Linked DNA regions of Arabidopsis thaliana. The protein of the gene in region 1 interacts with the protein of each later gene in a pairwise test. Each region holds a gene or a part of one and is shown on either strand. Other genes may lie near its edges. The genes, in order: AT5G60980 and CSP3.

Region 1 (5,740 bases):
ATATCACTTGTAAACCAGTATGAGCTCGAATGGTATATACAAATAGAAAAACTCATTGGTAAGTAAAAAAACTATTGGATACATTTTTATTGTTTGATTCTATCATGGAGACAGACATGACTATTTGTTGACATTCAGGCAAGAAACTACCTGAATATCCCGCTGAGGAAGATGAAGTCTTGTCATTGTTGGAGAGAGTTGCAGAAGCGAAAAAGCTATCTGCAATGGTATTTTTACTCTGCATTTGTAGTTCTAGGTTTATTCGTTTTTGCGTATAACTTTGATTTATAGAGAACTGAAATATGTTTTCTGGCAATTTTTGTTTAGAATATGAAAGAATCAGGAGGTAGGAAGAGAAGGGGAGAAGATGATGAAGAAAGTGAGAGGTTCTTGGGAGGTAACAAGGACAGAGGCAACAAGGAAAGAGGTGGTAACAAAGACAAGAAGTCTTCTAAGAAGTTCAAACGATAAAATAGCTCTGTTTTTACTGTTTTCCGATAACTCACCAAAGTTTTGAATTGAAGTTTTCCATATGAACTAGGGAAATTTAATCCATTTTGTACTCGTAATTTGTATGTTCTTTTCTTTTTGCTTTGTTTCTCAATGACAGATTATACAATTTAAGTTGAAAGATGTTTAAAAGCTCTGGTGTCTGTTCTTGGTGGCTCCTGCAGCTCTTTGTTTTATCTCTAATTTACAGTTCTATGCTTTCGAGTTCCCTAATGCATTCAACGAATTAGATAAACTGGTCATGTTCACTTCTGCTCACTTTAACTTCAAAACGAAGAGTAAGAACATCTCTGCGTAAAGAACACAACTCTATAATGGATTCCTTATGAAATTGAATGTTTGTTTATGAAGAGTACATTACCCCAAAGAAAGATTGAAAGATGAAAAACAAAAAAGAGAGGAAAAAAAGCAAGAATATTGAAAAACTAGACCGACAAAAAAGCCAATACCACATCAACTCAAGTAGTAGGCAAAAAGAAAGACGCAAAACAAAAATTAAAACTACTCTCTTGTAGAGGAGCGTTAAAAGCAAAGTCAAGATGAACCACCACCTCGAGCTCCACCACGACCTCCTTCTCCGCGGCCTCCTCTTCCACCTCCTCCGTTTTGAGGAACCCTTTGGTAACCTTCTCCTCCATTTCGTGGGTTTGAGCTCTTTGGTCTACCAGAAAACTCACCTCCTCCTCTTCCATAGCCTCCTCTTCCCCCACCACCGCGTCCTCCTTTGAAGCTTTCATTTCGGAAACTTCCTCTTCCGGAAAAGTACCTTCCCCTGCTACCTCCATTGTTGCCTCCTCCTGCAAAAAAAAAGATTAGCCACATCTTAAATACACAAAAACTCTTCATCAACCATCTTTTTCTTGATTCTTGATGAGGTCTCTCATGTTTGTTACCTCGACTATTTGTTTTCTTCTCCTCTACAACAGCTTGACGATCTCCAATTGTAACTGGTGAGGCCTACATGTACCAACACAAAGAGTCAGACTTTCTAATTCAACCGAAACATATACCAGACACCTGAGCTCGAAAAGACTTAGGAGAATTTTCAAGGCTATATATGGTTTTACCTCGAGGGCACTTTGCTTTCCGCTAGATGTTTCAAATTCCACAAAACCAAAACAGAAACCTTGCTGCTGCGAGTCACAAATACGTGTAAGGGACCAATAAGCAAAGGGTTTTTGGAGGAGATTGTAGATTTATATATCAAACCTTGTTGCTTCTGACTTGAATCCCCTCATGCTTGATTGCACCAAAGTTCTTGAACACCTCTTCAAGTTGTGTTGGTGTGGAGTCAAACGGCAAATTTCGAACATAAATCGAATGACCATCATCTGTAACAACAAATAGACAAAACAAAAATCAATAACCAAGGGAAATGCGCGTATTCAAACAGCAAAATGAAAAGAATTTACAGACCTTCCACATCAACATGGCTACTATTCGGAACATTCTCATGAGCTGAAGCCTCGGGTCTTGCTGCAGGCTCAGCAGGAGGCGCGGTCAGCTTCTGGTTGACTGGAGCTGGTCTTGGCTTGTTTCTAGCAACGTGTGTTGTTGGTGCTGGACTGCTTTTCATCTGCTTGAGCTGTTGAGGCACACAAATGACTTCATAAGTTTTACTAACAACAGAAAAACAATCTTGAGAAACAACAAAAGAATTAAGTTAGTGAGCGGTTTCAACTCACGATTGAAGCATAAGAATGCTTAGGAGCATCTCCTTGAGGCACTGATAAGATTTCATTATGACTTATTTGAGTGGGAGGTTCAATAGGCTCAACGTCAACAACAACTCCTTCATCTTTATCAGAAGGATCATACACTTCCGCCACATTGTCAAGATCTTCTTCCTCGATAGAAGCAACTGGCTCGGGTTCTACCTCGGGCTCGTGACTAACAACAACACGTTCTGACAAGAAGTAAGCCGATGTTAATATTCTAACTTGAAATAAATAAGTGCTATGTGTGGTAGGAAACAAAAAAAAAAAAACATGGAACTTTCATCCTACCTGGTTCAATAGGAGCCTGAACATCCCTAGTGGTTCCATTGATGGGGACAGAGCGGGCTTGTGCAGTCACCTCTTTCTCCTCAAGGAATCGAAACACGTCGTTTAAGACAAAGTATCCTTTGTCTTGTGGAGCCAAGAAAAAAGATTGACTAAACTTCTTCCTAACATTATCGTTCCCGGTTAAGCGTCCTGTAACCAGCACAATAACACCTCTCTCATGAGACTCCTGAGCATCAGCAGTTTCTATCTCAGCCGTGTAGTCTTCATATTTCAACGACAGAATCTTGTCGTTGATCGCCTGAAATCCATAGCGAAACCAAGTTAATATAAATCAAAAGAGAACATCATAGCAATCTTGTTAAAGTAATAGACTTAATGATAATCTCACTTGCATAGTTGTGACAGTAGTCACAGCACCGGTAACATCAGGTCGGGTTAAAAAGCTCGAATCTTGATAAAACCGATGAACTAAACCGGGAGATTGGTGAAGAATATGATAGTATTGCTCCACAAAGGCACGACCAACAACCTCAGCACCAGGGGAAGGACTAGCTTCCTGCTGTGCCATCTACACTCAATATATATATATACGGTGAGAATCAAAATTTACATAGCTCAGGATTAATAACATTATCAATAATCAACCACTGTGTTAGTAATTATTGAGACAATCTTCTCTGAAGTAAATCATTTTGATCAATAACCTAAAGACTGATTCAATAACCTAAATTCCAATAATTCAGATAAAAGTCAACGATCTAATCGAAAGTCTAAGATTTCACTGTTCTGTATGAAATTAAGCTCATACACACACACACAAAACCCTAGAATGAATATAAGATCACAACATTTATTACAAGAACAACACTAATCAAGACACGAAGCAACTAACAAAAATGAAATTTTAAAGATGTTTTTTTCACAAAAAAGGAATCGAGAAGAGAAGTATATAATAAAGAATGAGTCAGATCAAGCTCGATATAGAAAGAGAAAAGAGATCAAGATTGGAAGCAAATCGAGAAAGAGTAAAAGAAACAGATCGAATTAGGAAATGAAGTGAAGTGTCGTGTACTTACAGTGATCTGAGGGAGAGAGAAGGACAAAGAGAGATCTGCTGCAGAAGCTACGAAACAGAGGAGAGGACGAGAGAGACAGCGACAGACGGAGAAAGAGAGAGAGAGAAGAGAAGGAACCGTACCAACTTTAGTTTTAGTTTAGCTTTAGTTCAGTTCAGTTCAGTTCAGTTCGGTTCGGCCCAAGAAGCAAGAAGACTCATACTTTGGGCTTCATCATTCTTGAATTATTGGGTCTTTCTTGTTCATTTCCTTATTAGAAACTTACAAAAATAGGATTTACTTGTGTTGATCTTGAGAATGGTTTTGGGTCGTATATAAAAAGTTATAAACCGTTGACAGATTTTGTGTTACTATACGACGTATCTAAAAGATTTATGAAAACAACAAATTCTGAAATATTGCAATATTAAATTAATTATCTACTCGATGTTTGAAGGTATTATTCATTAGAAATAAAGAACGACTAAAAATTAAACACAAATACGACTTCTCAAATGTTATTAATGTATCATCGTTTTTTTTTAAGTAAAACATGTTGAGTAATCTGAGAATTATAAAATTTAAGAAAGAAGTTGAAAAGACAAAAAATTCATATTTTATATGTTTTAAAAATAAACTAAGACTCTATTTTGGTGTAGGAGGAGTAGCACCGGCAATTCTTGAACATTGTTCTTTTAGCATCGGCGGAAATAACGGAATGAATGGAATTTTTGGCATGCAATTGGATTCGACATCCAAAAATGCTTTGCAACAAGCCGGACCTAAGTTACCAAATTTTCTTGTGAAAATAGATTGAGAAATCTCTGCAATGCATCCCGGAATATCCATCACGGATGACAAACATTTTGTAATATCAGGTAATCCTGGCATACCAGAAATCGGTTAGAATGAAAATGGAAAAGGAAATTGTGGTAGTTGAGCATTTACGGAGACAAAAACGCACATAACCGCTATAATAAAAATCAAGTTTTTGATAGCCATGATGAAAACACAAAAAAAAAAGTTTCAAAGTTTATTTTTCTCGAGTTTGTCTTTGAATGATGAATAATAGTAAGATCCTTGGCTGTTTTTATAGGGGAAGAAATTGAGCTATGGTATTAATTGTGTATTGAAACGTCTTCGAAATTTTACTGTATTTAATTAGTAGTTTCGTTTTTTAATCTGGTTTAATTAGCAGTTTTTTAAAACTGAAATAGAGTCCAAACCTCCTCTATTCCAAGTTAATGAGACAATCAACAGTAATTAGAATAATTGACTATTTGATTAATTCAGAGGAGATGAATATAACGGTGGGACTTAACCAAACCGGAATAGCTCATAATTTAACCAATTATTAATCCTTCAGTTTGATTTGATTATATTCATTCCTCTTAACTCGTTTAAAAAAGGCTCTCTTACATCCGGAGACAACGTACCATCTCGTATATTCAACGCCGCCGATTGAAATAAACACTTTGAATCCGGAAAATGTAGTTCTGATGTTGAAGAAGAAGAGATGGCTTAACTAGAAAACCCGTAGAAGAGGTCCAACTTCAAGAGAATGAGAACGCGTGTGACGGAGAGTCGTAAAAGTAAAAGCTTAGTACAAAATTGTGTTAAGGTGACAATTTGTTGCATTTTTTGTTTACCTTTTTTGTCTACCAATTTATCAGTCTTAGTATTGCATATAGCCTATACTTTAGTGCGGGAACTACTTCTTAATCAGTACATTAATAATGTTCAATAAGTCAGTAAAACTAATTGGATCTATTTGAGAAATCTTGACTTTTTAAAGTTTATCCAATGGGTTGAGGAATTCTTATTTCAGGTCAATCAAGACAAATTTTCTTATTTTATTGATCCATAAAACCCTAAAAATCATATTGTCCCTTTAATTACTTTGCTGAATATTTTTACACATATATAGAATTAAGGTATTGATGTAAAATTAGAAAAATAGAAAAACTTGTGAATATAAATCATGATTAATTTGGAGATAGCTGACTCTGACTAGCTGTTTTGTTCATCTCCTTCTCTCTGAGTTCTTCTTCACACACTAGCTAGCTCAATGTTTTTTAAATTATGAACTCACATGTTTTCTATAAATGTTTTCTGATACTAAAAAGCCAGTCACAACCATTATACATTTATACTGCATAAATGTTTCAC
Region 2 (4,190 bases), on another chromosome or scaffold:
GTGCGTCCCCATATGCGGCCGGACCAAGCGGCGGGTATGGAGATGAGTCGTGACTCAAAGGAGTTGAGGGAGAAACCAGTGGTGGGTAATGGAGCGGTGCCGGCGCCGGAGAGAAGTCCCGGCCAGACGGTGTAGTTACACTGGTTAACGATGGTGAACGTGGTGGAGGAACCACCATTGATGAAAAACATAATCGCTAAGAGAAAGCAAGAGACTTTAGCCAAATCCATTGTTACCGTTTGATGTTGTATGATTCAGGAGAAGTTAGGGATCGTGTTTATATAAGAGAATCGGGGATTTGTGTTATGGAAAGTTTCATAATATCAATTTTCCCTATATGAGTTTTGCCATTACAGAATCCGATACATGTTCACTCATCATTTCCTTTATTTCAATATTCTCATTAATACTTGTGAAATGGAAATTACGAATCAAGCTAGTATACTTGTTATCCTTTTCGAAAATTATACATTTTTTTTTTATAACTATTTGTTGAGGATCTCTTCCTAAATTCAAAACTAGAAATTTAGATAAAGGTTAGAGGAGGAAAAAGCTCTCTTTTGTTTGTTAAGGAAAAAGTTATTTAGTTTAAAGACTTTGATAGGAAAGAGACATGTATGGTGTTGTGTAGTAAGTTAATTGTACTGGAATTGGTGGGATTTTGTATTAACGGAAATAAAGGAGGTGTTGGACATTAGAAGCTTGTCTTTGTATATGTTAAGAAAGATCAAGTCACTTCCAATAACAGAACACGTGGGATCCAAATGTTTATATCCGAAAGATTCAGCTAATCACAAGTGTAATTAGGTTAAAAAAAACTAACGGGATTAACTTCATCATCTTCTTAAAACATCACGGTAAGTAGAGAAAAAGAAACCACGAACTGACGAACAGGCATAGGCACTACAAGATCACGCACACCATGTCTCTCCTCTGTTCAGGAGATTCTCCTAAAACAAGATCTAAGTAATCTAAAATATCAAAAGATTATTCTTAAGCTAATATCTCTGTTTCATCAAGAACAAGAAAAACAGCAATGCAGAGTATAAGTAAACCAGTTACAGGAAAATCTTTAAGCTCTCCAACAAAGAGGAACCAAGAAAGACTTGTGACTCATCTCTTTGTATTTACAAGTTAGTAAAAAAAAGTCTCAAATCTTGGTATATAACAGAAGTGACCATAACAGATTGAATTTTCAAGTCATACAATCACACTCATTGCAAGGAAAGACAAGAAACTGTAAATAAGCAAGCACACATATCATTCAAGATCTCAAACTTATGGCATCAACAAAAGCAGTGAACAGGTTGCATAAACCAGTCAAAAGAGTAATATAGAGAGATCAAAAACTCCCAAAACAACCATTCTTAAACATCCTAAACGACTTTAGCAATCACATTATAGTCACCAAAAAGGAGCATTAGGTAGATTTTAATAGAAAACAAAAGAGGTTTATGAACATTACTCTTCTTCTTTGCATCTTTTTGTTAAGCAACCGAAGTACATTCCCTCGCAAAGTGACCTTCCTTGCCGCAGATGAAGCACTTGTTACTGCCACCGCCACCTCCGCTGCTTCCACTTCCTCTCCGATCACAGTCACGAGCCAAATGGCCAGTTCCTCCACATTCGTAACAAGCACGACCACCACCACCACCACCAGAAGGTATCTTGCTGGTGCAAACTTTCGCAATGTGGCCAACTCCGCCACAGGTATAACAAGTGCTTCCACCACCTCCAACGTTTCCACCGCCGTTTTGCCTACAATCCCTAGCGAAATGTCCCACACCACCACACATGTAGCATCCATCACCGCCAGATCCACGACCACCACCTCCTCCGTATCTGTTTCCACCAGAACCACCACGACAATCCTTTGCCAAATGACCAACCTCACCGCAACTGTAACACGGACGACCACCTCCTCCTCCTCCGCCGCTGTTTCCACCACCGCTTTGCCTACAATCCCTAGCGAAGTGTCCCACATCACCACACATGTAACATTCACCTTCGCCGCCAGATCTACGACCACCACCACCTCCAAAGCTTTTCCCACCACTTCCACCGTCACAATCCTTAGCCATATGACCAACCTCACCGCAATTAAAACAATTACCTCCGGATCCACGGGAGCTGTTTTCCTTCTTATTAAGTGAACCGCCGCCGGGAGCAGTAACTTCAATGGCCTTAGTCTTTCCGTCGCTTCCAAGCGCGATTTCGTATTCAACCGATTCACCAAGAGTCAAGCTACGGAATCCATCGGAGACAATTGAGGATTGATGAACAAAAAGCTCTTCGCCGCCATCATCGGGAGTAATGAAACCGTAGCCTTTTCCATCGCTAAACCAACTAACTTTTCCGATAGATCTCGCCGCCGATTGATCTTCCATCGCCATTAGATCAGAGAAAAAGGTTAACAAAAACTCGAAGCACTTTGTTCGTACAAAGAGAGGAAATGGGTAAAATGAAAACCCTAAATTGCTACTTGCTAGATCTATTAACCCCAAATTGACCTTAAATTCGCCACGTCAGCTCCTTCTCTATCGGCGGCAGTTACCACGTGTGCATTTTGGATCAGGCCCATGGTTCACATAATGAAATGGGCCTATTTATGTAAGAGTTTCAAAAGAACTAAGCAAAATTGATAAGGTTTGATTTCACACTAACTTTAAAAAAAATGCTTGAGATGTTTTATCATCTCTTAACCATCCCCAAACTCTGGGAATTGGATGAAAATGCAGTCTATAATTATCACTTTTTGCAAAAAGAAAGGGATATTCATAGTAAATCTAAAGTAAATATGACATGATTTAGATTATTATGTTATACTTCTACTAGAAGAGAAAGTGTTTCACACTTTTGGTTGTTTTATCTAAACAATATATTATATTTTGATATTATATCTATTTTTATGCAACTTATTTTGCATCCAAATTTTCAATATCCCAGCTCACTTTTTTAATTCAATGAACCAATACATGGATGATATTATCCGAAGTTCAATTGTGAAGAAAAAAATGATTCGATCATATTTTCTTCTAGAAGCAAGAAAAAAAGAACATCCCAATTACTTAAACTAATTATTGGATATCTATCGTCTATTATATATATATATATATTATATATTTTGATAATGTATGGTGTCGAACATCAACAATCTTCTGCTTCCCATTGTTTATGGACAGCATAGCTTTTGTCATGACAATGCTATACTTAAGAAAATGACAAGAGTTCCTTTTTTTATTTATTTTTCTTTTAATGACAATAGTGAATTTATAATTACTTTTTTTTTGTTCACATTTAAAATAGTTATATATATGTGAAAAGAATATGAGTTTTTTTTTGTAAATATTATGAAAGATTCGTGAGATGCAAATGTTCCAGAACATGGCATGTTGAAACAAGAGTGACACATGGATTATGATGACGAGAAGAAAAGAACCTTGTCTGTCGTATTTGCTTAGCTATTTTGGTGGCCCTGGTGAAGGCAATTTAAATTGACTATAATTATTATCATCATAAACGTCATGTTAGTATAACTCTGAAATTCTGAGCAAGAAATTTGACCCAATGTTAACTCTTTGAAATACCGTTATTTATATAACTTTTACCCAAAAAAATTAGAATCATAAAATTAACCCATGCATGCATACCTAGTTGATTGCACAACGTTCAAACTAAAAATGTTTATAACGCCCATAGAAAAAACTCTCAGTAACCCTCCACATACACATATCACATACATCGGAATTCACGATATGCGATTGTAACGTCTCTAAAAATTACTCTTTTCACAGTCGCGTGACAGGAAAAAATTCACTGCCACCAAGGCAAACAACGTTATCGAACTTTCGATAGACTAAGACCATGAATGGTAACATAGACCACACCCAAAACCGCACCGCAACAGTATTAAAATCTTTACATATATATGTATTTATGTATTTTTGTTACTATTTGACATAGATCTTCTTTTCTTTTATTGTCGATGTCGGCTGATTGTGCGACTAGAAAAAAAACACTCCCAGCTTTTTAAATTAGGTGACTACAACATAATACAACTAAAATTTTCTAAGAATGCTATATGATTTCAGTATGTAAATCTTACCTGTAACAAAAAAAATCTGTTTCTCCAAGGCTACATACTATTGATTGCTAAGTTGGAACACTTTAAGTTATACATAAATTTTTAT

The links.
Region 2: the proteins of AT5G60980 (region 1) and CSP3 interact in a two-hybrid assay, tested with the Arabidopsis thaliana proteins (one study listed by BioGRID).

Annotation. Positions count from the first base shown.
Region 1 is NC_003076.8:24,541,332-24,547,071, reverse strand, and holds AT5G60980 (Nuclear transport factor 2 (NTF2) family protein with RNA binding (RRM-RBD-RNP motifs) domain-containing protein), read right to left. Parts: upstream 3,937-5,740; 5' UTR 3,593-3,936; exon of another isoform or gene 3,085-3,592; coding exon 2,905-3,084; intron 2,815-2,904; coding exon 2,517-2,814; intron 2,417-2,516; coding exon 2,196-2,416; intron 2,096-2,195; coding exon 1,927-2,095; intron 1,842-1,926; coding exon 1,720-1,841; intron 1,644-1,719; coding exon 1,578-1,643; intron 1,468-1,577; coding exon 1,404-1,467; intron 1,308-1,403; coding exon 1,045-1,307; 3' UTR 720-1,044; downstream 1-719. Other genes in the region: AT5G60990 (DEA(D/H)-box RNA helicase family protein), read left to right, coding at 1-58, 139-227, 328-471. UniProt on the Arabidopsis thaliana protein: Involved in RNA-directed DNA methylation (RdDM).
Region 2 is NC_003071.7:7,762,789-7,766,978, forward strand, and holds CSP3 (cold shock domain protein 3), read right to left. Parts: upstream 2,489-4,190; 5' UTR 2,394-2,488; coding exon 1,488-2,393; 3' UTR 740-1,487; downstream 1-739. Other genes in the region: AT2G17860 (Pathogenesis-related thaumatin superfamily protein), read right to left, coding at 1-230.